Linked DNA regions of Diceros bicornis minor. The protein of the gene in region 3 purifies or fractionates together with the protein of the main gene of each other region. This does not show direct contact. Links are inferred from orthologs where the notes say so. Each region holds a gene or a part of one and is shown on either strand. Other genes may lie near its edges.

Region 1 (7,333 bases), about 30 Mb from region 3:
CCTGGACAGGAACAATGAGATGGACACAATCCTCGCCCTCCACGCCTCCGGCCCAGCTCAAAAACCTCCCTACTTTAGCCATCTCCTCTTTCCCATTTCCTCCCTTAGTCCCTAATTCACAACTCCATAGGGACAGGACATATTATCTGCCTTATTCACAGTTGGGTCCCAGGCACCTAGTATTGTGCTAGGCACTCAGGTTTGTTGAATGAATAAATTAATGAATGGAGTTCCTTTTCTTTTACACCAAGAGTCCCTCCTCCAAGCTTATACTCAACCCCCTTTCTCTAAGCCCAGACTCTAAGAGCAGTCCCAAGCAGGGAACTGGCCAGACTAGTTCCCTGGTTCCAAAGCATGGCCAGCTCCAGGCGGGTGGCAATGCCTTCTTTTCTTCCCTGGTCTCTTCTGCTCAACCCCACTGAGGGCCCTCAGCTGGCTCTTCGCTCACTAGGTGTCTGTCCACGCCAGAGAGGCCTTACCTGTGGGAGGTGTCGATCCGGACCCCATACCGGGCCTCTGTGCTCCTTTTCCCCACCTGCACCTTGAAGCCAGGGTCAAAGAGCTGAACAAATGAGATGGCGCCGGTCTCGAGGCACAGGTACAGCAGGAAGGAGTCCTTCACCACCAGCCACCTGGAGCAGAAGGGCTCCATCCGTTCCTCCCTGCCCTCGGATCGCCTTCCTCACTCCACCCACTGCCCAGCTATTCCACTTCAGGCCTCACCTCTTGGACCAGCGGTAACAAACTTGGTCCCGGCCACAGCAGGTGAGGCCAGGAACACGGTGGCCACCCGAGCGCTTCCGGATCATCCCCTCCCTGTGGGGAAAATCAGGAAGAGATGCTGGCTGAGGAATCCAGACCCCCAGGGCACCCTGCACTGCTTTTCCCATTCTCAGGCAGGGAGAGATCCAGATGTTTGCAGATGGCTGGGTGAGGAGTGTCAGACACTCACAGTCCTTTGCATCCAAGGTCCGGGATAAAGGACAGTTGACTGACTTCCAGGAACTCTGTCTGCAGAGGAAGACAAAGGCTCAGAGGAAAGACTGGTTTTCAGCCCCTCAGACCCTACTGACCCTAATCCTTTGCCCCTCGGGGGTCTGATTATTCTGCTCCACCTCAAAAGACGCAGGTATCCAGCCCCGGAACCTTACCATGGCATGGTAGTTGCGGTAAAAAGACATGGTCAAGAGGCGGTTGAGGTAATTCTCCAGGTATTTCTAAAGTAGGGATGGGAGACAGGGAGAGAGAGATGGGACCAGAGCCGTTTGCACACCAAACGCCTTGGCAGAGGACCTGAGGTCTGGTCACACCTGTTTGCTGGATGCATGTCTGGCAGAGCCTTCAGCACCTGCTCGAGGAAGGGAGGGCATCTCTCTGTTGCCTGCCTCTTGGGCTGGAGGATGGGTAACGGCAAAGCTGTGGAAGGGATGGGGTGAGGGTTAAGAAAGAGCTGGGAGGCTGAGTGCCTGGGTTCCTGAAGCACTGGACATGGGGTCTTGGACAGGGGAGGAGGCCTAGAGGCTCACAGAAGGAAGGCCCCCTACTCTGAGAATGGAGACAAGAAAACAGGGGAGGCTGCCACGGGCATTTTGGGCATGCAGCCCAGCTGAGATACTGGCACAGAACCACAGACAGGGAGAGCTGAGCAGAGAAGGTTTCCTGGTAACCGGGGTCAGGGCAGGGGGCCCAGTGGCCAGAGCTGGGGGAGGACAGTACCTGGGGTGGGGAAGATTGTGGCCTAGGGGTGAGACAGGCAGGAAGGAGTGATGGGGGCTGGGGCAGTGACAGCCCATGCTGCCACAGGGTGAGGGCAACCTGCCCATCACAGGAAGCAGTTTGGTCCCCCTCACCGAGCCAGAGGCAGCAAACTCATCAAGACTTTGTGTCTCAGGAGGTCCCGATGCAGCTCCTGGAAGTGACGGAATTTCTTCTTGGTTGTCCAGGTAAAGTCACCATGAGTCAAGCGGACCGAATACAGAGTGCAGGTTCCCACCTGGGGGTGTGAAGAACTGAATGGATGTCCCCTGGTTGGGTCACAGCCCCCTACTCTGGCCAGCCCTCCCATTATCCCCCTCCCTGGCACCAGCCCAGCTACCTTGGATCCACTGGTGTATCTTTCAGTGCCCACCACCTGGGCTGTGACAGGGACCCCAGTGGCGAACACCAAGGGGTGCATTTTCAGAGGCTGAAGGCCGTAGATGGCCAGAAAGGGGTGCATCCGGTCAGCTGGGAAGAAAGTGGAGGAGTATAGACCCCAGGAGGTCTCAGCCCCCTCTTCCTCCTCTCCCTGAGGGCGGTCCTCCCTGTGTACCTGGGTCCTCTCCCTCCCTCAGAGTGTCCACTTCATCGGGCTCCATCTGTAACTGGCTGGAGTCCAGGTCGTCCCCGGAGGGGAAGAGGGTCACGGGGGTCGTCATCATCCTAGAAATACGGGGAGGCCTCAGGGAGGTGATCTGCCCTGCAGAACCCTGCCCCTCATCCTACCCCCATGGTCCTCCATCTCCCATAGGTCCCCCTCTGCCCCACCCACCTGGACCCCACCAACTCCCAACGTCTCTTTGATTACGGCCCATCAGTCTGCAAGGCACTACCAAGCCGCCTCTAACCTCCATCCCCTACCTGGGTCCTTCATCCAGAATCCCTGAGCCCCGCCTCCCGTCCAGTAACCAGGGCGCCGAAGAACACCCAGCCAGGCCCGGATGGCCCCGAACTGGGGCAGAGCAGAAGGCAGGGGAAGGGGCCCCGGGAGGACGAAGGGGCCCGGAGCTGCCGGGGCTCAAGCCAGGCCCGGCTGGCCAGGAGAAGGGGTCCAGGCGGCAATGAGGAAGTTACGCGCTCCCCGTCCGGGAGTGAAACCCCGAAATCTGAGCGTGCGGCTGAATCAGGAGCCACAGCCCGGGTCCATTCCCGTCCCCGCCCAATTCCCAGGGCCCGGGACCTCCGCGGCGCCCCCTCCCGGGTCCCCTCACCCGGGCAGCCCCAGCCGGCGCCGGCGCGGGTTCGCGAGCAGAGGGAGCCGAGCGGAGCCCGAGCCCGAGCCCACACCCCAGCGGGCCGGGGCGGGGTCGGCGCTCAGGGCCTGCCCTCGGGGGCGGGACAGCCCCCGGCCTCACCTCCGCGGGATTCTCGTCTGTCCTGTCCCGCCCCGCCGCCCTCGGCCCGCCCCGCCGTCCTGCGCTCAGCCCTTGGCCGGGGGCCGCCTTTTGTGCTGCGGCGCCGCGCGCCCGCTTCGTGCCACCGACAGGCTCTCTCAGCGGTCTGTCCGTCTGTCTCGCGCCGTTGGTCCGAGCGTGCCCGCCGCCGCCCTCTGGGCGCTCGACGCTGCGTACTTTCCTCCGCTCCGATGCGGCCCCCAGGCCCTTTCCGGCCGCCGGCGCTGCCTGGGCTCCCGGCGGGATGCGTCTCCGCGGCAGGGACTTGCGGGTGCCCCCTTCACGGGCCGGCTGCGAATCACATCGGGCCTGGCCTAGATGATTGCAGGTGGAAGGAATGATAAAAGGCCAAGGGATGGTGGCCACAAATTCATTAATGTACGCAAGATTGCATTCTTTCATTCATTCACCATTTATTGCGCACTTGCTCCTTGCCGGACGCTGCGCGTACATTAGTGAACAAGATAGTCACGGAACTGGTCTCCTGGAACTTACAGTCGAGGGGGAAACACGAAAATTTTCAGGTTCTAAAAGACAAAATATTTTTTTTTTTCCTAAAGCAGATTTCTTTATCTCTTCTTATGATGGACATTTGGGTTGTTTCTAGTTTTTGTCTATTGTGAATAAAGCTCAAACAAACATTCCTGTATAAGTCTTTGTGTGGATATATGTTGGGAGTGGAGTTGCTGGGTCGTGTAATAAGTGCATTTCAACTTTATGAGAAACTGCCAAACTGTTTTCCAAAATAGTTGTTTTGTTTTACATTTCCGAAATCAATGTATGGTAGTTTCACTTGTTCCACAGCATGGCCAACATTTGATAGTCAATCTTTTTTGTGTGTGTGTGAGGAAGATCAGCCCTGAGCTAACATCCATGCTAATCCTCCTCCTTTTTGCTCCCCAAAGCCCTAGTAGACAGTTGTATGTCATAGTTCCACATCCTTCTAGTTGCTGTATGTGGGACGCGGCCTCAGCATGGCCGGACAAGCGGTGCGTGGGTGCGCACCCAGGATCCGAACCCGGGTCAGCCAGCAGTGGAGCCCGCGCACTTAACCGCTAAGGCAGGGGGCCGCCCCGATAGTCAATCTTTTTAATGTTAGCCATTCTAATAAGTGTAAAATAGTACATCATTGCAGTTTTATTTGCATTTCTCTGATGATTAATGATGTTGACCATGTTTCATGTGCTTATTGGCCATTTGTATATCTTCTGTAAAGTATCTGTTCAAGTCTTTTGCTAATTTTTTAGAAACTGTTATTTGTCTTTTTTTTTAAAGATTTTATTTATTTTTCCCCCCAAAGCCCCAGCAGATTGTTGTATGTCATAGCTGCACATCCTTCAAGTTGCTTTATGTGGGACGCGGCCTCAGCATGGCTGGAGAAGCGATGCGTCGGTGCGCACCTGGGATCCGAACCGGGCCGCCAGCAGCGGAGCACGCGCACTCAACCGCTGAGCCACGGGGCCGGCCCAGAAACTATGTTATTTGTCTTATTGAATTATGAGTTCTTTATATATTTTGGATACAAATCCTTTATCAGATATATGTATTGCGAATATTTTCTCCCATAATAATGGCTTGTCTTTTTAAAATAATGGTGCTTTTTGAAGAGCAAAATTTTTTTTTTTTGGTGAGGAAGATTGGCCCTGAGCTGACATCTATTGCCAATCTTCCTCTTTTTGCTGAGGAAGATTAGCCCTGAGCTGACATCTGTGCCAATCTTCCTCTATTTTGTTTGTGGGACACTGCCACAGCATGGCTTGATGAGTGGTACACAAGTCCGCGCCTGGGATCCGAACCTGTGAACTCCAGGCTACCAAAGCAGAGAGCATGAACTTAACCACTACACCATCGGGCCAGCCCCAAAAGTTTTTGATTTTGATGAATTTGTGGTAGATGGACCATTACTCAGCAATAAAAATGAATAAAGTGTATAATGGTGCAGCCACCTTGGAAAACAGTTTCTCAAATGTTAAATGGAGAGTTACCATAAGGCCCAGCAATTCCACTCCTAAGTACATACCCAAGGCTATTGAAAACATACATTCACACAAAAGCTTGTACGTGAATGTCCATAATAGTATTATTCAAATAGCCAAAAAGTAGACACAACCCAAATGTCCATCAGCTGATGAATGGATAAACAAAATGCAGTATAGCCCTATAATGGAAGATTATTCAGCCATAGAAAGGAATGATGTACTGATACATGCTACAACATGGATGAACCTTGAAAACATTATGCTAAGTGAATGAAGCCAGACACAAAGGACCTCTTATTGTATGATTCCATTTACGTGAAATGTCTGGAATAAATAAATCCATACAGAAAGGAAGTAGATGAATGGTTGCCAATAGCTGGGGAGAGGGAGGACAGGGGAGTGACTACTAATGGGTACAGAGTTTCTTTTTTTTGCTGAGGAAGAGTGGCCCTGAGCTAACATCTGTTGCCAATCTTCCTCTTTTTTTTGGCTTGAGGAAGACTGGCCCTGCGCTGACATCTGTGCCAATCTTCCTCTATTTTGTATGTGGGTCACCCCCACAGCATGGCTGATCAGTGGTGTAGGTCCGCACCCGAGATCCCAACCAGCGAACCCTGGCTGCCGAAGCAGAGCCCACCAAACTTTAACCACTAGGACACAGGGCGGGCCCCAGGGTTTCTTTTGAGGATGATGAAAATGTTATAAAATTAGTTGTGATGGTTGTACAGCTCTGTGAATAGAGTAAAAACCACTGAACTGTATACTTTAAAAGGGTGAATTTTATGCTATGTGAATGATATATCAATAAAGCTATTATTACAAAAAACATGAACAAATAAACTGTTAGTACAAATAACGTGGATGAATTTCAAAACCATTATGCTGAAAGAAGCCAGACACAAAAGAGTAATACTAAATGACTCTATTTATATAAAGTTCTGAAACAGGCCAAACCAATCTATTTTGATGGAAATCAGATCCGTAGTTGCCTGTGGCAGGGGGTGGGGAAAAGATTGAGTGTAAAGCAGCACACAGGGAACTTGGTGATAGAAATGTCCTGTCTCTTGACGGGCGTGGTGATACACTTGCCAAAACTCATTGAACTGTACACTAAGATGTGTGCATTAAATTCTATGTGGATTTTTACTTCAATAAAGTTGATTTAAAAACAAAAAATCATTGGAGCCAGCCCCTGTGGTGTAGCGGTTAAGTGCGCGCACTCCGCTGCTGGCGGCCTGGTTGGGATCCCCGGGGTACACCCAAGCACAGCTTGTCAGGCCATGGTGTGGCGGCGTCCCACATAAAGTGGAGGAAGACAGGCACAGATGTTAGCCCAAGGCCCGTCTTCCTCAGCAAAAAGAGGAGGATTGGCATGGATGTTAGCTCAGGGCTGATCTTCCTCACACACACACACACACACACACACACACGAAAAACAACAACAACAAAAAACCAGATTTCTGTCTGAGTCAGGCAGTACAGTATAATCAGCAGTGTTTCCCAACCTTTCGCACATCGCGACACCCATAGGGAATGATAATATAGCATTTGCACAGCTTTAGCGGAGGGCATTTAGAATCCCTGGCTAGGGTGCTCTGGACCCCCCAGACCTGGCTGAAGGCATCAATGCCTACCAAGGACATGCTTGGGAAGCTCAGTGGGGTAGTAAACACAGTGAACGCTGGGGTCTACTGATGGGGGTGGGGTTGAGTTCCTGCTCTGATGATAACTGTCTGTGTGACCTTGGGCAAGTTACGTAATCTCTAAGTGCCTCTTATCACTCATCTGTAAAATGAGGATAGTCATAATACTTACCTCAAAGGATCATTGATGTGATTAAATGAGATAACATGTGGGGCCGGAATCAGCGGCCTCGTGGTTAAGTTCTCGCGCTCTGCTTTGGCAGCCCGGGGTTCGCAGGTTTGGATCCTGGGCACAGACTGCTCATCAGGCCATGCTGTGGCGGCATCCCATATACAAAGTAGGGGAAGACTGGCACAGATGTTAGCTCAGGGCTAATCTTCCTCAGCAAAATGAGGAAGATTGGCAATGGATGTTAGCTCAGGGCCAATCTTCCTCACCAAAAAATAAAAAATAAAAAAATGAGATAATATGTAAAAGTGCCTAGAATCTACCTGGCACAGAATAATTAGTCAATTACAACTATCTTCATAAAAGGGGACAAGAACTACTAGACCATTC
Region 2 (8,047 bases), on a different chromosome or scaffold from region 3:
CTACGGAGGTAGGAGAGAAAGCTGGCATCTCCTAGCTCACAGGAAATGGACTAGGGGCTACTGGCCAAGAAGCCAGAAGGGTGATGAGCGGGAAGGAGGCTCACTCTCATCCAGGTTGATATAGTCCTGCCGCTCCTCCTGGTCCCCTGTGCGGTGGTTTCGCGAGCGCTGGAGGATGTGAGCTCGGTCTCGGATGTGATGCCCAATGGACATCTGCTCTAGTCCGCTGTCTGAGTCCCGAACAGTCCTCCGAGTCTCCCGGATCTGAGGTGAGGCAGAACACAGCACACTCAGCTGCCCCTTCCAAAGCCCTGGCTGTGCCAGCCCAGGACAGACAAACCACCCACAACCCAATCCTGAAAAACAAAGCCAGGGTTTCTGTGGGTGCTGTTCAACCCCACCTTCTCTGGCCTAGAAGCCCTTCCACTCACCCCGCCTGGTGCTGAGCGCATCTCTGATGTCTCTTGGTAGACCTTGGGGGCACCATCACCAGTATTGGAGTAGGAGATGACAGTGGAGGATGAAAAGGTCTGGCAGTTGCCTCCAGCCGTCATGTGTTCCTGGGGAGGAAAGGGTACAGCAGGACTGAATGGGGAGGGGTTCCCCTCTGGAGAAGGGACCCCACACTTCAGCTGCCTATTCTTGCCCGTATCTTTCTCACAAAATTTGAGAACTGAGAAAACATCAAGACTCATCATTACCCCCAAATACCTCTGAGTCCACAATAAACAAGAAGGATCTTAAGAGATTGAGCCTTAACTGCATACTTAATAAGAGTGCTGCTGCTGCTTCACTCAGGCACGAGAGCACATACAGGAACCCAGTGCTCTCTGGGTTCAATTCCTTTACCCCGCTTGAACCCTTCACTAGCACACTCTTTCCCTCTCCTGCCTCAGAGGACTCAAGGTGTTGCCGGCCAGAGCTGAGAGCAGGGCCTGGAAAAGGTATGGGGCAAGAGTCTCACCATGTTCCCAATCATGTCGTTCATCATCCCAAACATGTCCATGAAGCCACCTGACTAGAGAGAGAGATGGAGAACAGTCAGGAAAGCAAAGTCAGCGTTCAGCTTATCTTGTTCAGGGACCCACTAGCTACGTGGCTGCATATTCCCTTTCTCTTCTTCCTTTACATCTAGCAACTGCTCTTTCTCATTCTTGGAGAACATGACCAGAACACTGCATGCTTATCTGCATGTTTCTCTTCTCCATACTGCCGCCCTCCTCCTCAGTCTTTGCGGCTGCTCGGATCCAATTTCCCTTCTCCTGACTGCCCTATTTCCCCCTATCTTTAGGAAGCAAGCCAAAGTTAATGGATTCTAACCTATAAAGGCATGAAATTGTAAAAAAAAAAGACTTCTAAAAATCATCTCAAGTTGGCCCTTCAACTTCACCTCCCTCCTCAAAAGAACAAACTTTGCTAGACAATTACATTTTCCTAATGGATATGGTTCCTAGAAGTATAAGAGTCAATAAGTTAGCATCTTTAACTCACAGGTCTTAGCACCCAGCAGGCCCAGAGCTCTGTGAACACTATAAAAAGATTCTAGGGTTACCCACAAGGCTATTTCAGAGAGGCACATTTGGAAATAACATCTAAGGGTATAGAGTATGTCTGAGATGGAAAGATATGAGGAGATGAGGACTCACCATTCCCAGCATCCCAAAGGGGGAGACAGCCCCAGCCTACAGGAACAGGTAAGGAACAGGAATTAGAGACCTCATCCTATCTTATTACAGTCCCAAACCAAGCCCACGGCTTCAGCTGTCTTTCTGTCCTCCTCTCACAAAGCCCTTTTCCCAGACCCTTTCCCCACTTCTAGAAGATCATTCCACTTGCTAAGTTGGCTGCAGTACAAGACAAATCAAGCGCTTTATTAACCACCCTCCAGCCTGTCTTTGGGTCTCAGGCATATCGCAGCACCATTACCTGCATCCTGCGGCTGGTAGGCCTGGTCCCTGGCATGTTGCCATCTGTGATGCTGAGGAAGGGGCTATATCCAAAGCCACCTGACAACATGCGGTTCATATGCTGACGGTGAATAGCAAAGGGGTCCCTGTGGAGTGAGTATACAGTATGGATGGTAGAAGGACCAAGTAATCAACACCCCGCTCACCCCCAAAAAAGAAAACAGTAGTAGAGAAACAATGGCACAGATGTCTGTATCCTCTTTAAGTCCGGGCTGGAGCTGAGTATCCAGCCAGTTCCAATCAGGGCCAGCAATGGGAACCCAGATGTCTGTCTGAATTACTCAGAGCCCTGAAGTGGAGTGGGATGAGTGCTCTAGAGCATGAGGGGGGGAGTACTTACATCAGGAACATGGGATCCTCAGGCTCCACGTCCCTCATGAAGCGGAACATCCTGATTTTAGCTCCAGGGGGCTCCACACTGTAAAGATGTGAAGGCTCAAATACTTGGAGGCGGCCAGGCTTTTTGCACACCGGCTCAGAGTAGGGACTCTCAGAACACTGTCCCTTCCCTATACTGTAACTGACCCCCTAAACTCCAGTAAGACCCTTCTCCAGGTGTTCACCACCACCCTCTAGGGAGAGAAGAGCTCTTCAAATCCCTCTCTCAAGGAGGGCCATGGAAAATTTTTTCAAGCCTCTCAGTTTTCTGCCTCCCCACTCAGAGCCATCCTCTTCCCGAAGCCCTAGGCCAGAAGCATACTGCCCCTCCCCTGACGCCACTGCTCCGGATGCGAATCCCCAATGCTGGCCCTCCGCCCCATTAATGACCCCAACCACCCCGCCCCCTCCTTACACCAGCCGCTCCCAGGCCTCCCCCGGGCGGGCCTCACTATCCCCACCGCGCCTGCCGGCGGCTCCCCCGACCCCTGCCTTCGCCGGGCGCACAGGAGAGGCAGGCCTGACCCTCTCCCCTCCCGGCATCCCGGGCTCCCAGACCCTGCAGCCCTGCAGGCCCGCTCCCGTCCGGACCCGGCTGCCCGCTCTGCTCCAGGCTCACCGGTCCCCGATTCGGGCTCAGCGGCCCATCCGGCTGGTCTCGCCTCTCGGTGCACTGCAGGATCGGAGGGCTGCGGCCCGGTACGCCGGATTGGTCCTGTCGTGAGCTCCTCGGCCTCCCGCGCCGCCTCCTCCCACAGCTGCCACCTCCGTCCCCCCCCTCGGCCCACGGAGCCCGAAGCACGGCCAGGCCCGGACGGAAGTGACGTCACGATGGGACAGCCCCCCCCCCCGGGGGGGGCCGGGCCGCGGAGCTCCGCCTCCTGGTGGGCGTGGGGAGAAGGCGAGGGCGCGCTCCCGGGGCGCGGGGCCGCTGATCCGGGGCCGCGGGGTTCGCTGGAGACGAGGGGAGGGGAAGCCTCGTTAGTAACCTGGATTTGGGTTCTGTGGACAGGAAGAGGCTCCCTGTAAGGGTGTGGGGGAGGAGCAGAGGCGTGGACTCCTCGGGCGGGCCGGGGCGGGGGAGGAGGGAGGGCGGTGCGGCACGTTCCCTTGGGGGAAGGAAGAGGACCCGGGGCAGATTCCCATGGGGGAGGGGCGGGCTCCCTGTGGGCGAGGAAGTGGGGCGGATCCCTACGGGGAGCTTAAAGCAGATTTTCTACCGGAGAAGCGCTCAGCCCGGGGAGGAGGAAGGGCGGCAATTTTGCGGGGGAGGTGCATTCTAGGCAGGGCGGGGTCCTCGGAGTGACGTAGAGGAGGAGGTGACAGTTCTGCCCAGGTCTAGCTCTGGCTGCGAGAACTCGGGATAGGGCAAGGAGAATCCAGTGGGGGGGGGGGGGGGGTACTGGCCGCCAGATGGCGCTCTTCGGCCAGGCTGGAACTCTAGCCCCTTGGGAACTGGCTTGGGAGAGGCTCCTGGAACCCTCAGTTACCCTGCTGTGAAGGGTCGGCCAGGGGAAAGGCTCTAGTTCTGAAATCCTTTAGTTTAGTGCCAGTCTCCCCTTTATTTTCTCTAACTCCTGTGTCCTCAAGAGCTCCCAGTCCTGCGCTGATCTTACTTGCCTCTAGTCAGGTAGGTAGGTCAAGGGTCTGAAGTTTGAGAGAAGAAGAAAGGGTGGAGAGCTCCATTAACCCGTATCACCCAGGGGCGGAGGTGAAAACAGACCCAGGAGACCTGACTCCAAGGCCAAAGACTGATACTTTGACATACTAAATGTCTTGCATAAAATCTGGCCCAGCTGGAGAGAAGGGCCTTCCTCCTGGGTGTCAGGGGATTTGGACTAAGATGGACTTTAAACCAGACTCATCCAACCTTTAGCTCTCTCTGGTTCTTTACTCTGGCTGCTAGCCATATTTATGTTCTGTGGAGCCTTACAATGAGAAAGACTTGTTCCCAATACTTCCCTGGGGGAGAAGGAGGAGGGGGTCTCTGGTGACTCAGGTGGGAGCAGGGCTTCTCAGGTTTCTTTGGAGATAGGGGAACAGAGACAGATAATTTAGAAACTGGCAGACTGGCAAAGCCAAAGAAAGACAAAGAATAAAAGAAAATTTGTTTTTCATTGATATTTTTGGGGAAAAGACGCAGTAAAGTCTTTCTGATTTATCTTCCAGATGCTCTGTCTCTGGAGATCCCACCATGCAAGTGCCCCTTTTTCTCTTGCCCCAAACAAAAGCAGTTTGACATGTGATCAAGTTACGCCAGTGAGAGTTCTACAGCCCAGGCTTAACTGTTAAGTGGAAGCTCAAGTTCCAGCTTCTCTCTTCTCATTCCATCATGTCCATCCTTCAACAGAACTGGACATACAACTTAGCTTCTAGCCTCCTCCTTTTTTTCTTTTTCCATTAGCTGGTATCCTCTACCTACTGCCTTTAGGTGCCTAAAGCCCTTTCTCTTCTTTCTTCCAAAACTTAAGACTCTGATATCAGCCATTTTTACCTTTGCATGATTTTAAATCAATGTATTACCTCTCCTAGGAATATTTACAAATTACAACTTAGCTTTCTAACTCTGAGACAAAACTCCAAACCTGGGCTTTGTCTCAGGTTAAAAAGAAATCCTTGAACAGGTGGGAATGAAGGAGGAGATGCAAGAGCTCATTGTCAGAGTCCTCAAGGACTTACCATATAGGCGGCCATCTACTCCAGGAATTGAAGGGATGTAATCATTCTGTTCCCCCAGAACCAGAGTTTGTGTCTGTCTTCCTTCTCCATTGCCCTCCCTTGTCTTTCCTTCCTCCCACCTTCTCTTTCTCCTTCCTTCCTTCCTTTCATCTCTGTCCTTCCTTTCTCCCTCCCTGCCTTTCTCTTTTCCTCCTTCCTTCCTTCCTTCCTTCCTCCCTCCCTCCCTCCCTCCCTCCCTCCCATCTCTGTCCAATGAACTCTGATGAACAGAAATTCCTCAGTCACTGGAATGTCCTGTAGATGATAAGATGTAGGAGAGAGAGTGGGCCCTGCCAGGGCTGAAGCTTAACACAAGGAGGATAAAGATTGTTGGGAAGGAAGAGAAACAAAGTGGTTCCTATATTCACTGCTCTATCTGATGGAGCCAAAGTCAGGAAGTCCTTGAGAGAGCAGAGCTGGGCCAGAAAAGGGGCCCTCTTTGGATGGGAGGTCTGGAGCAGTCCCAGGGCAGTTGGATACTGGAACAGAGTGAGGATGGGGCAGTGATGTGGGAGTTAGAAGAGACTGGATTTCCTACCTGAGCCAAAGTGAATGGGTGTGACTGAGTGTATGTGTGTATGTATATGTGCATATGGATTGGGGGAGGAAGAAACACCCTGAAAATTAGCACGGAGGTGCCTCAGGTAGAATGAGTGGGTTGTACAGTGGACACCAGATCAGAGTGAGTAACTCAGGAGAATTTTTTAAAAATAAGCTTTTCAGTTTGTTTTTATATCCACATCAACTCAACAAATATTTATTGAATTAGTACTTACTATGTGTCGGGTACTGTTCCTGGCTCTGGAGATATAGTAATGATATAGACAAAAATAAAGCGAGGTAGAAGGGGGAAAGAGGAACAGGCAAGCAGCTAGGAGGTGGTAGTTGCTTTTTAGGGTGACTAGGGAAGGCCATACTGATAAGGTGACATTTAAACAGAGACCTTAACAAGGTGAGGGATAGCTGGGGTGAGAGCATTCTGGGCAGAGGTATAGCAAGTGCAAAGGTCCTGAGTCAGAACTATGCTTAGTGTGTTCAAGGGCCAACAGAGAAGCCAGTGTGCCTAGACTGATATGAATGACAGAAGAGCAGTAGTAGAAGACAAGGTCAGAGAAAGAAGGAAACCAGATCATGTGGGACTTTGTAAGACCTACAAAAGGATCACTCTGGCTGTTGTATGGAGAAGAGAGTATTGGGGACAACAGCAGAAACAGACCTATTAGCGTGCTGTTGCCATAATCCAGATGAGACATGACGGTGGCTTAGAGTAGGTTAGAAACAGTGGAGGTGATGAGAAGTGGTCAGATTCTAGGTATGGTCTGAAGATGGAGCTAACAGAATTTGTTGATGGATGGATGCAGTATCAGGGAGAAGAGTCAAGAATGACTCCAAGGTTTTTTTGACCTGGGCAACTGAATGAGAAATAAATGACCATTTGGCTTGCCACACTGTACTGAGTACATATAGGTACTGGTTTGAGAATATATTGAAACTGTGTCTGGCTGGAAGATCCTGACCACGTGGCTACACAGGATAACTGACCCAGACAGTCTTACCTTTAGAAGCTAGCCACCTAAAATAGGAGGAGATGTGAATAACAGGAATAATAAGTGAATTCCATACCTAGTTTTACCATAAGATATTAGATGTTAGTTAGACCATCCTGGGTAGATATGCTAATGTTAATGGTTGGCATTAGCATTGGAGTTTTAAGTTGGAAGAACTTCCTGTTGTCCTTTGATCATTTCAAGAAGACATCCTGAAGGAGGCAGGATGTCTCATGATTAACATGGACGTGCAGGATTGAAGTTTGTGCCACCTGTGCGGTAGTTCATGTCAATAAATATTTATTGAGCTCCTACTGTGCACTCGGCATAGTGCTAGGTGCTGGGGATGAAAAGACAAGTAAGACATGGTCTCTGCCCAAGAGGGTTCACAGCCTAGTGAGGGTGCCCAAATGGAATCCATTATAATCCTGTGATGAAGGCCACAATAGAAAGATGTATGTTAAAAGGGCAAAAGTGTTCAGAAGACGGAGTGAGTGATTTGGGGCGGGGGGGGGGGGGGGGGGGGAGGCAGAGCCGGAGAGCATTCCAGGCAGAAAATGGGATCAATACAAGGGCACAGAGGTATGCCCCATTTGGGAAGAACTATGAGGAGTGAAAAAAAAACTGCTGAAGTGGCCAGCCCAGTGGCGTAGTGGTTAAATTTACGTGCTCCGCTTCAGCGGCCTGGGGTTTGCAGCTTCATATCCTGGGTGCAGGCCATGCTGTGGTCATCCCACATACAAAATAGAGGAGGATGGGCACAGATGTTAGCTCAGGGCGAATCTTCCTCAGCAAAAAGAGGAAGATTGGCAACAGACCTTAGCTCAGGGCCAATCTTCCTCACTAAAAAAAACACAAAACACTGCTGAAGCAAAACTTTTGAGGGAACAGTGGTAAGAGATAAGGCTACAGAGGTTAAAAGGGAACAGACCTTGAAGGGCCCTCTTTGCTTCTGGACTTTATCCTATAGGCCTGAGGAGGCTATCAGAAGGTTTTATGTAGGGAAATTACAAGTGTCTCTTTGCATTTTAGGTAGAAAGGCAGTTTATGCATTTCAGGAAACATGTTTGAGCTTCTACAATGTACCAAGTAGGGAGGTAGGTGCTGAAGATACAAAAATTCTTAAATCATGATTGAAAACCCTAATTAATTAAGCTTAAAGTCAGGGAGTGATGGTGACCCCTGGAGCAAAGGCAGGACTGGGTTTGGAGAGAAGAGGAGGCACTCAAGGAATCTTCGAAAAGTGAAATGTGAAAGCTCTAGGCAAGGAGAGCAAAGGTGGGTCTCGGATGACTCCTTGGCATGAGTGAACGGGTGGAGGACAGTACCTTTAACTGAAATAGAAAACGAGGGAACCTCTCTTGGAACATGTGGGGTTCGAAGAGCTATGGAGGACCTAGGGAGTGATGAACAGAAGGGCACTGGAGTCGTGACTCG
Region 3 (8,030 bases):
GCTGCTATGGGGGAAAAAGAACTCTGTCAAAGTGGCAGGCAAAAAAATTGAAGTCCATTTCTTTTCTCTCTAGAGACACTAAAGCTAAGAAAATGAAACATGTAGCTATTTAAAATGCTGCAACCACGAGGTCCAGGGTCTTGCAAGCTTCTCTCATTTTGCCTCCTGTGGGACAGTAAAAATTTAGCAGCAGCAGCAGGATGTCCTTGAGCCAAGACACAAGGAAGGAAGGACTCCAGGCTGGACTTCACAAAAACAACCCAAGAGACCCATCAACTTCCGTGTCCCCAGATGAACTGGTAGTCGGACTGTAATGAGAGACAGAAACTTGGTCAAATGACTAACCAAGCCAGATACTAAAGGGCACTTGTAAAGGAGTTCCTATCCCTGCCCTTTGCTATGCCTACACAGGAGGATTCCAGGATATGTGTAAAATGTAAAACAACCTTCCTCCAAATCTTCTAAATCCCCACTCCACTTTCAGCACTGGAAATCCATAGGTAAACAAAGCTTTTTCTTAATAATGGATCTCAATGTTTACCCTCCTAAGGATGCCTTATATGGCAGAAAGTCAAACTGATTTTTTTTATTTCACTATATTTTCCTTTTGATTTGCTCACACCTAAGTGGTATATAATAAACATCTGTTTTATTATGTCTAAAAGATATCCGTATAAATATGTATAACATGTAAGTCTATTTGGTAAGAAAGCATTTTTTCAGTTAAATTTAATTATTTTTTCTTAGTGGTAGATTAAAAATTGTGCATTTTACAATGACATCTTAAATTCTATGAAATAAGGCAGTTAACATAAGTCAAGGGCCAGCCCCGTGGCTTAGCGGTTAAGTGCGCCCACTCCGCTACTGGCGGCCCGGGTTCGGATCCCGGGCGCGCACCGACGCACGGCTTCTCCGGCCATGCTGAGGCCATGTCCTACATACAGCAACTAGGAGGATGTGCAACTATGACATACAACTATCTACTGGGGCTTTGGGGAAAAAAAAAAGGAGGAAGATTGGCAATAGATGTTAGCTCCGGGCCAGTCTTCCTCAGCAAAAAGAGGAGGATTAGCATGGATGTTAGCTCAGGGCTGATCTTCCTCACAAAAAAAAAAACATAAGTCAACATCCTCTCCTATTTTGTTAAGATTTTATTTATTTTTTCCCCCTAAAGCCCCAGTAGGTAGTTGTATGTCATAGCTGCACATCCATTCTAGTTGCTGTATGTGGGACGCAGCCTCAAGCATGGCCGGAGAAGCGGTGCGTCGGTGCGCGCCCGGGATCCGGGCCCGGGGCCGCCAGCAGCAGAGCGCGCGCACTTAACCGCTAAGCCACAGGGCCGGCCCTCTCCTATTTTGTTAAACTGCTACCAAATACCATATGTTTTTGTATAACACGCTCACATTACAACATCACCTGTTTTACGTGTTTTAATCTATCTTTAGGCTCATTTACTACAGTTTTATGATAGAATACCCTCTAAGGCTGTAATTTTTTTTTTTTAAGGAAAAAGACTTACTTTAGATAGGAGGCTTTGAAATGAAACTGAAATTAGAGACAGTCCTACATCAGAGATTTACAATGATTACGATGAGTTTTTTTTAATTACATATAGCCCAAGTCTCTATTTATAGCACAAAGAACGACTAAACTCTTCCCAAAGTAGATCCTTACAATTAATTTAAACTGTGTTGAACTCTTTGTTTATTTTGCAGTTCCTTAACGATGCTGAGGATGCTTAATTCTAAATACCTGTAAAGAACTAGGAACAATGTGAAAACTCAATACTAAAAACACAGAGAGACTAGACTCTGACATCCTGACTTCTCTGACATCCCAGGGACCTACTACTACATGTTGTCAAGCCTCTCAGCTCCCAACAGGTCAGGAACTTGGAACACTGGCTGCAGTAACTACCCTTAAGCTGGATAACCATTCATTCTGCCTCACTGAGTACCTCTTACGTTTCTAACTTGGACAGTAAAAGATCTCAGAATCCTGATTTCAGTTCTCATGAACTAATTTACATCGCCACCTCAAATCACCCAGACTGAAGCCATAATGAGCTTGCTATAATGATACGAAATATGTGGGAAGGAGACTGAGGGAACTGTAGTCAACTAATCTGCAGTTGATAAAGAAAGGGCTCCAAATTTCCAGAACCTTTTCGTTAATTCTGCTTCAGGATTATGTCAAGTATGACTACCCACAACTGTGTTCCAACCCCACTTCCAACAACCTGCCTTAGCTGTAGCCAGAATCCAGAGCGTTCTCGAAAACCACTCACTCAGCAGCTCCCCTGGCTAGTCCGGACTGGCAAACTCGAGCCACTGCCGCTGCCCAGCAGTGCCAACAGCGCCCAAGGAGCTGCCCTCCTCCTTCCTGCTTAAGAAAGAACAGTCCTGGAAGAATGAAGATCTTAGGAAGGAGGATGGAGGAAAAGGAGTTTGACGTGTAGACATGAAACAAGCCCCTCACTCTTCCTTCTTTCTCTATCACCTCCGACTTCTGGGGTAACCGGGGGGCGGAGGGAGGACAAGGTCAATAATGGAGACATACAATCACCTCGGACCCAGACTAGGACTCGCTGGGGTATAAATACGGAAAAAAGGGGGTGAGGACAGCACAGGCTTTGGTGATGCAAAATGCTGACAGACAACAATGCACAGAAGTTAACAAGAGAAGGCGGGGGTCAGGGGCGATGTAAGGCAGTCGTCATTGTCGCCGCGCCGCCTCCCCCACCCCGCCACAGACCTCTGAGAGCTCCTCAGGGACCTGGCTTTTACAGTCAGGACGACCTTCTTCTCTGCTAGAGAACACAGCTGTGCCTCAACTCCCCGGCCAGGCGGAAGCGGGAAGGAGGGCCGACCTCCGAGAGCGCCCCTTCAGGGGGTCCATCCGGACTCGATCTCAAATGGGGGGGGCGCGGAGGGCGGGGCATCGCCTTCACAACTAGGGGCTGCATCATGGCAGGGACGGGTTTCCCGGAGCCACGGAGCAGAAGCTCGTCCCTTCCACTACCCTGTCACCCGGTTACCTCTTCGCGTCTTCGTCGTAGAGCAGCTCTGGCTCGGTCGCCGCCATTACCACATCGCACCCAGCGGCAGCCGCCATCTTACCGCCGGGACCAGAGAGCCGAGTGGGAGGCAGGCGGTGAAGAGCACTTCCGGTCGGAGCATCGAGCAGCTCGGCGGCGCTGCGCCCAGAGGGGCTCCCTCGAGCCCGTCTACCAGCGAGAGGCTCTACTTGGGGCCAGAGCGGCCTTCCGCCCCCGGAGGTCCACGGTGGTCTCCGCCCCGGGGCGGGGGCCCAGGCACGATTCCTGTGCGTAGGGGGCGCCACTGTACCCGTGGGTCGGAATAGGAGGGTCTAGCCTCTCTAGGTTTTGGCTTCCCTCAGTATTTCAAGAGCCTCGTTGCCATAGCAACCTCCAATCCTAGAGAGTCTCCTGTAACGCTCCGGAAAGCCTGAGCTGGGTGGGAACCCAGTGACCCAGGACTCTGGAGGGAACGAGCACCCTCGACTACCTTCCCGACCTTGGAGTGTGTCCACAGCTTCCTCCTGGGAAAGGCAAGAAGAGACACTTTGAGCCCGGTTCCCCAGCGTTCATCGGCCCCTGGAAGCCCTGCCCAACCAAGCCAGGGAAACGCAGGGCGTCTTCACCCCGCGCCTTTCATCCCCTCCGGATCTGCAAGCGTCAACTGGTTCATGACTCTAATGACGCTGACCCTTTTACGAGGCTGCTTTCGTGTCAGCCGGCTAGGAGTGCCATCTCAGCATTAAGGCTAGGGAGGGTGGCAAGCCCCAGACCCTGCCCTGGAGTTTATGAGGCAGCTCCCGGGGTGAGCTCCCTGCCCCAGTGTCCCCCGTACCCCCACCCCTCAGATAAACTCGCTGCTCAGCGCGCTTGTCTTGCCGAATGCAGTCTGGATTGGGAACTCAGAGGGCAAGGACGCTGCCTAATCGTTTTTGTAGTACTTCCCTCACCCAAAGCAATATTTGTGGACCTGAATTAAATTGGGGTTTTCTGAGGTTAAATTGGGGGAATTTGAGGTTAAAATTTTTAAGCTAAGGAAAACTAAAATAAGAAGGGGGCGTGGGCACTTAAAAAGGATCTACTCTGTTCCTCCAGTAAAATAGTGTGTGCCCTTGTCCATAGGCTACTTGTATGGTCACTGCCTATCACAGTGCTAAGGGAGGGGAATCCACACCCATGCCTGAGTAGGGGAGGATGGGAGAGGCTCAGTGGGTTGGAAGAGAGGTCATCCATCCAGCTAATCATTCAATAGCCCTCCCAAAGTGCCCACTCTCCCTGCTTTAATTGGGAGGGCACAGACTCACAGACCACCTGCCCTGCCTGCCAATGGCTCCCAGTCCACAGCCTCATGCGGGAGGCAGTCTTGCACCATCTTCCCACTTTGTGTTCCCTGCATCTATGCCAACTCATCTACTCTCACAGCTTTAACTTGATCTGTCGTTGACTCTCAGCTCTGTTGATATCTCCAACCTAGACCTCTCTTCTGAGTTCCAGATTTGTATATTCAACTATCTACCGGATATCTCTTGGATGTTTCACAAATCCTCAAGGCTTAACATATTTTTTTATTTTTTGGTGAGGAAGATTAGCCCTGAGCTAACATCTGTTGCCAATCCTCCTCTTTTTCTTGAGGAAGAGTGGCCCTGAGCTAAGAGCTGTGCTATCTCCGTCTATTTATATGTGGGACACCTGCCACAGCATGGCTTGATAAGCGGTGCATAGGTCCATGCCCGGGATCTGAACCCGCAAACTCTGGGCTGCCAAAGCGGAGCTCGTGAACTTAACCACCACTTGGCCGGCCCCAAGCTTAACATATTTAAATTGAATTTGTCATTCTCTCCCCACCCCTCAACAACTGAAAAACAAATGCTGTACTTGATTCTCTTTTCCTGAATTCCCTATCTTGTTGAACGGGTCACCATTCACCTGGTCACCAAGTGAGAAAGATGGGAAACATCATGAACTCCTCCGTCTCACTCCTGACTCCTAACTTACCACCAAGTCTTGTTGATTCTCCTACCAAATGTCTCCCAAATCTATCACCTTTCCATCCCATTTCAGGTTCCCGTCATTTTTTAAAAACTTGGAATACTACCAAAATCTCCTAACTGGCCCCCAGTCTCATTTCTCTCCAATCTTCAGTCTTCTGCCAAAATGACCTTCTTAACAGCAAAAATTGATCGTATCACTTCACTAGCATAAAACCTATCAATGGCTTTCCACTGCTGTTAGGATACAGTTTGAGCTTTTTGGCCTACCACCCAAGATTATTTGGCTCCTTTCTACCATTAGTATTGAACTCAAGTACTTGTAGTTCCAGAAAATGCCATGACTCTTGCCATGCTTTCTCCACCCTTTCCTCCCAAGCCCTTTAAACCTCAACACAGACATGACCTACTCCAGGAAGCTCTCCATGATGCCCACTGCCTCCAAGTTAAATGCCCCTTTGCTGTGCTCCCATAGCTCCTCTGTGATAGTTCTTGCCATACTGTACTGTAATTGTTGGTTTAGATGTCTGGCTTCTCTAGACGGTGACATTCTCATGGGCAGCTACAGTGTATAATTCGTCTGCTTTTTCTCAGCTCTTGGTCCTGTACCTGACACAGAGTAGGTGCTCAGAAGACATCTGATGAATAAACGATTGAATAAATGAAGTGTTACTGAACTATGGTAGCCTTTAGGGAAAGAACATTTGGTCATCAGACCCACCGGACCAACAGCCCGCGTCCGGGGAGCTGGAATCATATGCGCTCAACCAGCCCAGGTCCTGGCCGTCCTTTCCCCCGCCGGCGTCTGGGGGCGCTGTGAGGGCCGTGCCCGCTCTCCGCCGCCGGAATTCGTCTTGCCGGACGAAAGCTAGGGGGCGGGGCCCGCAGAGCCTGGCTCGACCCGGAAGAACGGAGGCCTTGCGGCCGTGCTGCCTTGCCTGCGGTCCCTGCGTTCCTCGAGGGGCCCGGCCGGGGTGCTGCGAGGGCCCCGGGAGGTACGGAGCTGGCAGGCCAGGGTCAGCTACCGTGTCTGGCCGCTTTAGGTGGCAAGTTTCTGCGGCCTCTGACTCCCTCTGGGGGTCCCATCGTGGGGAATCTGGCGGAGGCCCCTCTGGCTTTCTCATGGGTATCCCTTATTCCGGGGCTCACTACATACATGGGGCTCCTCGGGGGGGAGTGGGGAGGAGGGTCCGACTCAGGAGTTTCCGCTGGAGAGGTTTCTGTTTGAGACCCCTTTTGAGTGTGATCTCTGTATTTCTGCTCCCTGGGGGACTCTGGGGCTTCTTCTGGGAAGCCTGTGTTTAGGATGCTTTCGAGGAAGTCTCTGGGGCCTCTTCGGAGAAGGAATTTCTGTGTCTGAGGCTTCTCATCTGGGTCTGTCAGTCTAAGGGTAGACTTACCCTTAGGAGGGTAAGGAGGAGACAAAAAATTGTCTCCTTTTCGAAGCCTTTTTCCCTTAGATTTCTTCACTCCTGTCTTTCTTGTCTGATGTTCTTCATCTTAGCCATGGACTTGACTGGGAATTAGAGGTCATTGATTGTCGCCTAGATAAGTCATACAGGAAAGCAGAATATCCTCCTTATTTGCTCATTTTCCCCAGGAAGAGTGGCTTAAGACAGATCCACACAAAATAGTATTCCTGCTTATTTTTCTGTGGGGTGGTGGTTAAAGAGAGGAAGCTGAGCCAGAGCTCCCTTCAGCAACTGGTCCTCCACATCCTGTGCACAGAGAAGAACATGACCAGTGGTTCCTTTAAACCAGCGACCCTCTACTCTCTTTATGGCAACATATACTGAGCACTTGCTCTCTGCCAGTTCCTGGCCAGATACTGGGAATAACAAAGATCAGTAACGTACAGCTGCCTGTCTGGTAGTGGACACAGACACATCACTTCAATACACCCTGACTAGAGTAGGGGTCAGTGCTGAATCCCTAAGGCTATGCATTCAGTTCAGAACTTGGGCTCTCAATTATAGGAGGTCTGCCCTTTGTTTTGATCCCACCTCACCCAGTGTGCTTCTGTTCTTCAAGGTTGAAGGCTAAGCATGGGGAAGAGCTGCAAGGTGGTCGTGTGTGGCCAGGCATCTGTGGGCAAAACTTCGATCCTGGAGCAGCTTCTGTATGGGAACCATGTAGTGGGTGAGTGTTGTTGCAGGCGGGGAAACAGTGGAAGAATTTGAAGAATAAGGAGTAGGATTTGATCACAACACACAAAGGCTAAAAGCTGCTCCTGGTGGTTATTGCACCCGAAAGAGGAACATGTACATTTTAACCCGCAACCCTACAACACTGAAGAAATCTGGAGGAAGGAAACTCAATATCCTGGATGGGGAGGAAAAGCTCCCAAGTTACCCTTTTGCTTAGGATGGTATGAGCATGAGATTAATATCTTCCCCCGAATCATTCCAGTCCTGCCAGACTCGGTCTCTGGCCCCCTCTCCCCAGCCCCCACATTTCTTTCTCTCCCTGTCTGGTCAGCCTGTCAGGATATACCCAGTCACCCATGTTTCCCATCTCCCTCCTCCCTGCAAACAAGTTTTCTCATTTTATCCCAGGTTCTGAGATGATCGAGACGCAGGAGGACATCTACGTGGGCTCCATTGAGACCGACCGGGGGGTGCGGGAGCAGGTGCGTTTCTACGACACCCGGGGGCTCCGAGATGGGGCTGAGCTGCCCCGGCACTGCTTTTCCTGCACTGATGGCTACGTCCTGGTCTACAGCACAGATAGCCGAGAGTCCTTTCAGCGTGTGGAGTTGCTCAAGAAGGAAATCGACAAATCCAAAGATAAGAAGGAGGTGTGTGTGGGAGCCCTGGTGGTGGGAGAGAGTGGGCCCTGAGCTGCCTTGGGGAGGCTCGGCTTGGCTCTATTTTTCATTCATTTCCCAAGAGGTGGGTTAGCAGCTAGAGGGGGGATGGAGGCCACTGGAGGGTGGCTTCACCCCTAGAGGTGGCCACATGTTGAGGCAGCTCAGCCAAAGAGACTTTTCAGTTTAAGAGGTCCCT
Region 4 (7,847 bases), on a different chromosome or scaffold from region 3:
TGAGATTAAGAGTTCAGAAACAAATACACACACATATGACAACCTGATTTACAATAAAGACTTGCTGCAATGCAGTAGGGAAATGGTTCAACAAATGGTGTGGATCAACTGAGTATCAATGGAAAAAGTGAATCTTGACCTCTACTTCACACGTGCAGAAAAATTAATTTTAGATGAATCAGAGAATACAATAAAGCCTCAAAGAAAATATAGGAGAATATCTTCATGTCCTTGGAGTAAGCAAAGATTTCTTAAACAAGATATGAAAAGCACTAACCATAAAGGAAAAGATTGATAAATTGGTCCTCAATAAAATGATGACCTTCTTTTCATCAAAAGGCACTTTTAAGAAAGTGAAAAGACAAGCCACAGACTAGGGGAAGATATTGCAAAACATTATCTGGCAAAGGACTCATTTCCAAAATATATAAAGAACTCGGACACATCAATAAGAAAAAGACAGAAAATCCAATTTAAAAAAAAAAAGGCAAAAGAATTAGAGACTTTACAAAAGTGGATATCCAAATAGCCAATAAGCAGCACATGAAAAGGGGCTCAACATCATTAGTCATTAGGGAAATGCAATTTTAAATTACAATGAGATACCACTACACACCCACCCAAAAGGCTAAAATTAAAATAACAAACATACCAAGAAATAGGAAAAATGTGAAGTAACTGGAACTCTCAAACACAGCTGGTAAGAATGTAAATTGGTACAACCACTCGGGAAAACTATTTGCCAGCATCCATTAAAGCTAAACAAATGCCTACCTCCTAGGTATACACCTAAGGGAAATTAATACCTATGTCCACCAAAATACATGTACAAGAATGTTCATAAGAGCTTTCTTCATGATAGCCAAAAGTAGAAACAATCCAAATGTACATCAATAGGCAAAGAAATAACTAAATTGTGAACCTTTATACAATGGAATACTACTAGGCAATACAAAGAACTACCCCTCATCCAACATGGGTTAATCTTAGCCATAATGTTAAAAGAAAGAAGCCAGACACAAGTGATTCCAATTTAGTTAAGGTTCAAGAACACGTAAAACTTATCTATGTTGATAGAAGTCAGACTAGCAGTCACCTGTTTTAGGGGTGAGGCACTGATTACAACGGGGCACACGGGAGCCATTTGCGGTGCAGGAAATATTCTGTTTCTTGATCTGGATAGTGGTTACACAGGTGTATCCATATGTAAAAATTGAGCTGTATACTTAGGATTTGTGCTCATTTAAAAAAATAAAACATTAAGATAATTAACCTTGGAGAGAGAAAGGGGAAGGAGCCAAGAGTATTAAGTCTCTGTCCAATTCATATAGGTGTTATCTCACTATGAAAGCTGGGCACAGTGTTAACTCTAGATTATTCAATAAAGGAAGCAGTGGAATATAACTAAAAATTACTGCTAACTATCACCATCAGATTAAGTCTTCCTTTATCTCCTAAAAAGCAGTTGGTCTCTTACTCTTCTGAGTTTCCACAGATAATTTTTGTATCTTCAAGCCGTAAAGTTGCCTGACATGTTAGTAATAAATGTACTAAGTGAATTAATAATAAGTATATGAACTTTGAAGCTACAGTTCATTTGCATCAGACCATTCTCACATTAAAAGAAAGAAAAGGAACTAAAAAGAAGTGATTAAGAAAAAAGTTTTCAATCTTGTTGGCATTCTCAATCTGTGTCTACTCAGCACTTAGGACGCCATTGGTAATGCCATCTTTCCTACTACGAGACACAACTTTCCTCAAGATCTGACCTTGCTGTCTTTCAGACTCTTCTGTTCCCCAAAAAGGAGAACGGGAATGTACTATTTCCCAGCATAATACAGAATCTTAGCAATGTAAACTGGCATATTAGGTAAATCTTAAGAATTGAGTAAATAGGCTGAACAATTCTGACAACAGCAGCAACGAAATTGTTTTTCCATCTGTTGAGACAACTTTTGGGAACCTGATTCTAACAAACTAGCAACAAACCACAAAAAAAAATTCTGTAAAGGAAGGTCTCTAGTTTCAGGGTAGCCCAAAATACGTTAGCAGAAAAATTAAGTTTTTAAAGCATAAAGTACAGCGTAGGAAACAACGGCTTACTTCTAAACAAGCTGAAAATGTTTCCAATCAATGACACTACACAGCTTACCTGTTCCAGCACATCCAACTTTAACTCGAGCTTGCTGAGAACCACGTCTCCACCCCATAGTGAAAGCTGCAGATCTGATGGCTTTAAGTTCTTGATGTAGCGATTCACATAGCTCATTAAAATTGGAGTAACATATGACTCCAGCATCTTTTAACGTGCAGAGGAGTCGAAGTCAGAAGCTGAAGGGGGTAAAGATAGAAATATTAGAAGTAACTGAGTCGGTGGTGAAGCGAAGGAAAAAACATATCTCTGGAGAGGCTGAAGAGGCCGAAAAGCAACAGTCCCCACCAAAGCGGCCGCTCGCCTCCTCCCACACAAGCAGAGAAAACTCAAGTGGATTCTCGGCTCCAGATGCAACTTTCTCATTGGTACAACTCCCCTCAACTCGCCTGGCTACGAGTGGGAGGAAGAGGTGGTGACCTGAAGACAGCGGGCCCCCCCGGAGTGGGAGAACGAAGTGAGCGGGCTCCCCTTTGGTCACCGCACCCCTTCCCCAGCCCAGCCGCCCCACGAGGCCCTCGCCTCCCGGATCCCAGCCGGATCTACCACCGTAAAGCCAGAAGCAGAAGCAGGCCGGCTCCCGCCCCGCGCCGTACCGCACCCTCGGCTGACGCTCACGCCAGAGCACCATGGCGTCCCCTCCACCTCCCGTACCTGGCAGCCGCCCCCAGCAGCGGCGCAGCTCCTCTACGGAGCCACTTCCGGGTGTGCCTCACTCGGTGCTCAAAACAAACTGTCCCTCCACCGCCACCACTCGACTCCACAGGAGGACCGGAGTTCTCTGGCTGGAGAAGCCACTCAGGGCCCCTTCTAGGAGGAGAGCTCTTACGTTCGGCTAGCCTGCGTCTCCTCTCGACCCCACCAGTGGTTACGACAAAGCTCTAGGAAGTGCCCCGAGGAGGTGGGCGGACCGCTCAACTGGAGACACCGCAGATCCGGAAGTGGCGCTCCGAGAAGAGAGTGGCTGTGGGTCGTGGAAGGTCGAGTCCGGGGGAAAGCACGCAGGGCCGCAGGTCCAATGAGGAAGAAGAAAGCACGTCCTAGTATTTAAAACCCTGAGAAACAAGTAGTAATTGTTTCCCTTGCGAAATGGAAGGCCTGGGAGTTGCAACTTGGGTTCAGTGGGCAGGGCAATAGCAATAAGGCCGCAGGTAGGAGAAGCCAGGGGTGGGGGCGGGGGGCAGACTTAAATTTAGATCTGAGGTTCGTTTGCTGGAAGAAGGGTGGATGTGAAAAGAGAAATTGAAGGGATTAGCATGTGTGATTTAGGGGACTGCGTTTTGACCAAACGTGTGGACAAGCTCTCGCGTTCTTCTACTTTGGCGAAGCAATGGTTAAGTATTCCCAAGTTTGCTGATGCGGGGCGGGGAAGGCCTGGTCAGAGAAGATTGTGGAGAACCATTGGAGCACAGTCTGATATGGGACTTCAGAAAAGCGGCGCGTCTATCAGAAGAAAATGAGACTCCTAGAGACAAAGTGAGAAATAGCTGATAAGGAATGAATTTAGAGTTTTAAGAGAAAGTGTTGGCTTTATTAGGCTGAAATTAATGTATAAATTATTTCCTTCTTGTAACTTGCAACCTAAGTCAAGAAATTCAAACACCTAACTCGGAAAAATATACAGCTTAAAGAGCTTCTGAAGAAAACACCTACTACTGCATTTTGAAAATAGACTTTCCTTATAAAGTTATTAAAATATCCATGTTGTCAGTTGCATTTAATTGAAAATACTTCATGAGTAAATTCCTAAAGCTCTTTCCTGGAATTCAAGTCATGATTTCTTGAAAGTTTTAGAAACTGCAATAGAAAAGAAGCATAAGTGAGGATGCCAAGATGTTTAGATTTATTTTGTTAATGAAAATAATAACTAAATTTCCCCCAAAAAAGAGAGAAGCAGCTAATTGCTAGTTCAGAGCAACTGTCCCGTCACAAAAGTCTTAATGAATAACCCAAGTAATTTGGGTATTATTAAGACCTACTAAATTGGCCAAGTAAATTAAGTAATTTCTTAGTTATCTGCTTCACCTGAAAGGCAAACAGATTGAAGCTACCTTTTATAGCAGGAAGTGTTATTTTAGCTATCACATAGGTAGATAGATAATAGACATGAGCTGAACTTAATCTATTCAACTTGGTTACTTCAGAAACATTAAAATTGTAACTTGATTTACTCATTACATTATCATTGTTTGATTAAATTGTCAAATTTTATTAATTAAATTGTAAAATATAACTTGCCTAGACAATCAGTGAGTTATTCATTGAATACTCTTTACATGTTACACCTCATTTTTTTGTGTATGTGTGAGGAAGATTGTTCCTGAGCTAACCATCTGTGCCAATCTTCCTCTACTTTGTATGTGGGACACTGCCACAGCATGGCTTGATGAGTGGTGTGTAGGTCTGTGCCCTGGATCCAAACCGGCAAAACCTGGGCTGTCGAAGCGGAGTGCACGAAGTTCACCATGCCACTGGGCCGGCCCCATACCTCGTTTCTTTTATAACAAAAGGTATGGCAAGATGAGGAGGCTCAGACATGGAAAGGTTAAGTGAAGGTTAAGTTAACGTTAAGTGTGACCTATGGTCACAGCTAATCAACCCAACACTTATGACTTCAAGTCTCCATTTTTCCCCTTTTGAGAAGGAAAAAAAAAGAAACAGAAAAAAAACCATTAATTACTATAATAATAGAACAACAAAGGAAGTTATCTGGGTTTAGAGTAATACACATACTGGAGCTGCCCCAAACACTTCTGACTAGCTTCCTAAATAGTTACAGCACATAAAGGTTTTATTTTTTGCTGAGGAAGATTCGCCCTGAGGTAACATCTGTTATCAGTCCTCTTTTTTTCCTTGAGGAGTAGCCCTGAGCTAACATCTATGCCAATCTTTCTTTATTTTGTATGTGGGTCACCACCCCAGCATGGCTGACAAGTGGCATAGGTCCGCGCCCAGGATCCAAACCCGTGAACCCAGGCAGCTGAAGCAGAGCGCATCAAACCCAACTACTATGCCATGGGGCCAGCCCCTAAAGATTTTTAATGTAGTGTCAGAGTTAACTGTAAACAAGTCTCTGTCCAAGTCATATAGGTGTTATCTCACTATGAAAGCTGGGCACAGTATAGCTGATAAGTCCAATTGGTAGGAAATCAATAATAATCATGGTTGCTACATTTTATGCTAATATTTAAATATGTTAGTTTCATATTCTGAATTTATTCATTAACTCAAAGACATTTTTTGAATTCCCACTATGTAGTATACACCATGCTAGGCACTGAGGCGTGCCTGCATGGAAGAAGCTCAGTTTCATTGGAATCACAGATATAAATGACTAAAATATTATACGATTAAGTGAAATATGTACAAAGTGCTGTAGGACGTGAAAAAATCATGTAGAACTATGTGAGAAAATCAGTCAAGGCTTAAGAGGAGAGTTATCAGCTACAGATAATTTTTTAATGTTACCTCCTATTAAAGAAGTAGTATTACTCTCCAGAGTGTCAGAGACTAGAACTAGGCAGGGTTCGACTTCTATCCAACTGCAAAACAATGTACTTTTTCCACTGACCTAAGTCTTTCAAAGAAAATCAGGAACTCCTTGTTTGTAATACTCACTAAAATAAATGGATGCTACCACAAGTGGAATGGCCTAGTTTAAGACCCTGAGGACAGAAACAGTCCTACAAACATCTACTAGATCAAAATAAATTGAAGGGATAGGCAGGTATACCAATGGGGCTGAATAAAGAGCCCAGAAATAAACCTCCTCATTTATGGAATCTTGATATATGACAAAAGTAGCACTACAAACCAAAGGGAAAGGGTTTGCATATATCGATAATTGGTACTGGGACAATTACTATCCATGTGGAAGAAAATTAAAATTAGATTCCTACCTAAGACCTAAGAGTGAAGTCCAAGTTTTATGGAGCCTGATATTTATAATTTGGGGATACCCATTTAAGAAAAACAAAACATTTTACTTTTGCAAAATTGTATAAAAATATACAACACATTACTTGGGCTTCTCCCAGGGCCTTAGAAATGGCTTGTGAAAGTAATGGTCTCTGAAGCTTAAGCTTCGTTAGGTTCATGGTGAATGTATCTATGCTCACAACAAACACAAAAATAAACCCCAGATGGATTAAAAACTAAATGTGAAAAGGAAAATTTTTTAATTTATAGGAGAAAAATTGTTATTCCTCAGAGAGGAAGGATTTTTTAAATAAGACAAAAATACTTAAAGAAGACAAACTATAAAGGAAAAGCTTAAGAAGTTTTATACATGAAAATCAAAGCAGTTGTTTATCAAAGAACATGTTAAAGTAGGTTACAAGCCACAGGCTGGGTGAAGATACTCGCAATATATATTAGTTAACAAAAGATTAGAATACAGATTTTATAATGAACTATAAATTAATGAATTAAAGACAATCCAATAGAAAAATGGGCAATTCATAAAAGAGGAAACCCAAATGTCTAATAATCACAAGAAAACATATTCAACTTTGCTAATATTTAGGGGAATGAAATTTAAAACAACAGTGACTTGCTATTTCATGTCCATCAGATTAACAGCATTTTTGATGTCTGATGTCAATGATATGGAATGACTGGAACTAATACACTGCTAGTGAAAACTCCACATGGAGAGGAATTTAAGAATATCCAGCATAGTTGAAGATGCATATACTCTAGCAATTCCACTTGTAGGGTATAGAGAAAGTCTTGCATATGTGCACAAAGAGACATGTTTAACAATATTTTGCAGCATTGTTTGTAGTAGTAAAACAGTAGAAACAATTGAAATATCAACAGGAAAAATGGTTAAACTGTAGTATATTCATATAATGAAATATTATATAGTAGTGAAAATGAATGAGTTAGAACTATGACTTTCAAATATTTTACCTACAGTTAGAAATATAGTTTATACCATGACTCAATATGCATATATATGTATAGAGAACCCTCACAAAACTATACTTAGATTGAGTACATGTGATACATCCTGTTTTCTCTGTTATTCTATTTCTTTATTTTTTGTAAAGTAGTTTACGACCTACCAAATTGATACTGTGAGCTACTAATGGTTTGCAACTCACAGTCTGAAAAAACACTAAACAAAGTTACACATTTATCAACATTAAAAAATCTGAAAAATATAACATTGAGGAAAAATAACAGAGTATAGCATATCGTAGTATGTATACATACACATATATATATATGTATGTATACACACAGTCATGCATTACTTAATAACAGGGATACATTCTGAGAAATGTGTCGTTAGGTGACTTCGTTGTTGTGTGAACATCATAGACTGTACCTACACAAACCTAGATGGTAGAGCCTACTACACACCTAGGCTATATGGTACTAATCTTACAAGACCACTGTCATATATGTGGTCCATTGTTGACCAAAACATCATTATGCAGCACGTGACAGTACATACCTATGGCATTCAAAGAAATGCTATATATTGTGATGGCCACATATATATTTAGAAATAGTATTAAATACTTTCATGACAAAGATAAACACCAAATTCAGGATAGTAATTACCTCTGAAGAAGAAGAAATGGAAGAATAAATCAGGGGAAGGGACAAGCAGGAAGTGAAAGCTAAGGCAGAATTATAGGTGGCCTATCCAAGCACTGAAGGATTGCCTCTGCTCAGAGCCAAT

Evidence for each region.
Region 1: the proteins of DNAJC7 (region 3) and PLD2 purify together in Homo sapiens (affinity purification with mass spectrometry; 3 studies listed by BioGRID and IntAct, counting the BioPlex papers as one, with this or other methods). This does not show direct contact. The link is inferred for Diceros bicornis minor from reciprocal best matches to the Homo sapiens genes DNAJC7 and PLD2.
Region 2: the proteins of DNAJC7 (region 3) and MLF2 purify together in Homo sapiens (affinity purification with mass spectrometry; 3 studies listed by BioGRID and IntAct, with this or other methods). This does not show direct contact. The link is inferred for Diceros bicornis minor from reciprocal best matches to the Homo sapiens genes DNAJC7 and MLF2.
Region 4: the proteins of DNAJC7 (region 3) and VPS13B purify together in Homo sapiens (co-immunoprecipitation; 3 studies listed by BioGRID and IntAct, counting the BioPlex papers as one, with this or other methods). This does not show direct contact. The link is inferred for Diceros bicornis minor from reciprocal best matches to the Homo sapiens genes DNAJC7 and VPS13B.

Annotation. Positions count from the first base shown.
Region 1 is NC_080757.1:11,591,581-11,598,913, reverse strand, and holds the start of PLD2 (phospholipase D2), read right to left. Parts: upstream 3,029-7,333; 5' UTR 2,970-3,028; intron 2,948-2,969; exon of another isoform or gene 2,620-2,947; intron 2,422-2,619; 5' UTR 2,421-2,421; coding exon 2,312-2,420; intron 2,227-2,311; coding exon 2,096-2,226; intron 1,994-2,095; coding exon 1,851-1,993; intron 1,417-1,850; coding exon 1,311-1,416; intron 1,218-1,310; coding exon 1,152-1,217; intron 1,012-1,151; coding exon 953-1,011; intron 817-952; coding exon 724-816; intron 633-723; coding exon 480-632; intron 2-479; coding exon 1-1.
Region 2 is NC_080756.1:54,978,601-54,986,647, reverse strand, and holds the start of MLF2 (myeloid leukemia factor 2), read right to left. Parts: upstream 3,104-8,047; 5' UTR 3,014-3,103; coding exon of another isoform or gene 2,731-3,013; intron 2,386-2,730; 5' UTR 2,358-2,385; coding exon 2,308-2,357; intron 2,054-2,307; coding exon 1,927-2,053; intron 1,683-1,926; coding exon 1,647-1,682; intron 1,019-1,646; coding exon 965-1,018; intron 561-964; coding exon 432-560; intron 265-431; coding exon 105-264; intron 1-104. Other genes in the region: PTMS (parathymosin), read left to right, coding at 2,731-3,013, 3,104-3,294.
Region 3 is NC_080757.1:41,231,709-41,239,738, forward strand, and holds the start of DNAJC7 (dnaJ homolog subfamily C member 7), read right to left. Parts: upstream 3,144-8,030; 5' UTR 3,115-3,143; coding exon 3,038-3,114; intron 1-3,037. Other genes in the region: NKIRAS2 (NF-kappa-B inhibitor-interacting Ras-like protein 2), read left to right, coding at 7,071-7,164, 7,581-7,822. UniProt on the Homo sapiens protein: Acts as a co-chaperone regulating the molecular chaperones HSP70 and HSP90 in folding of steroid receptors, such as the glucocorticoid receptor and the progesterone receptor.
Region 4 is NC_080760.1:17,756,727-17,764,573, reverse strand, and holds the start of VPS13B (intermembrane lipid transfer protein VPS13B), read right to left. Parts: upstream 3,055-7,847; 5' UTR 2,807-3,054; intron 2,767-2,806; exon of another isoform or gene 2,699-2,766; intron 2,332-2,698; 5' UTR 2,300-2,331; coding exon 2,153-2,299; intron 1-2,152. UniProt on the Homo sapiens protein: Mediates the transfer of lipids between membranes at organelle contact sites. Binds phosphatidylinositol 3-phosphate. Functions as a tethering factor in the slow endocytic recycling pathway, to assist traffic between early and recycling endosomes.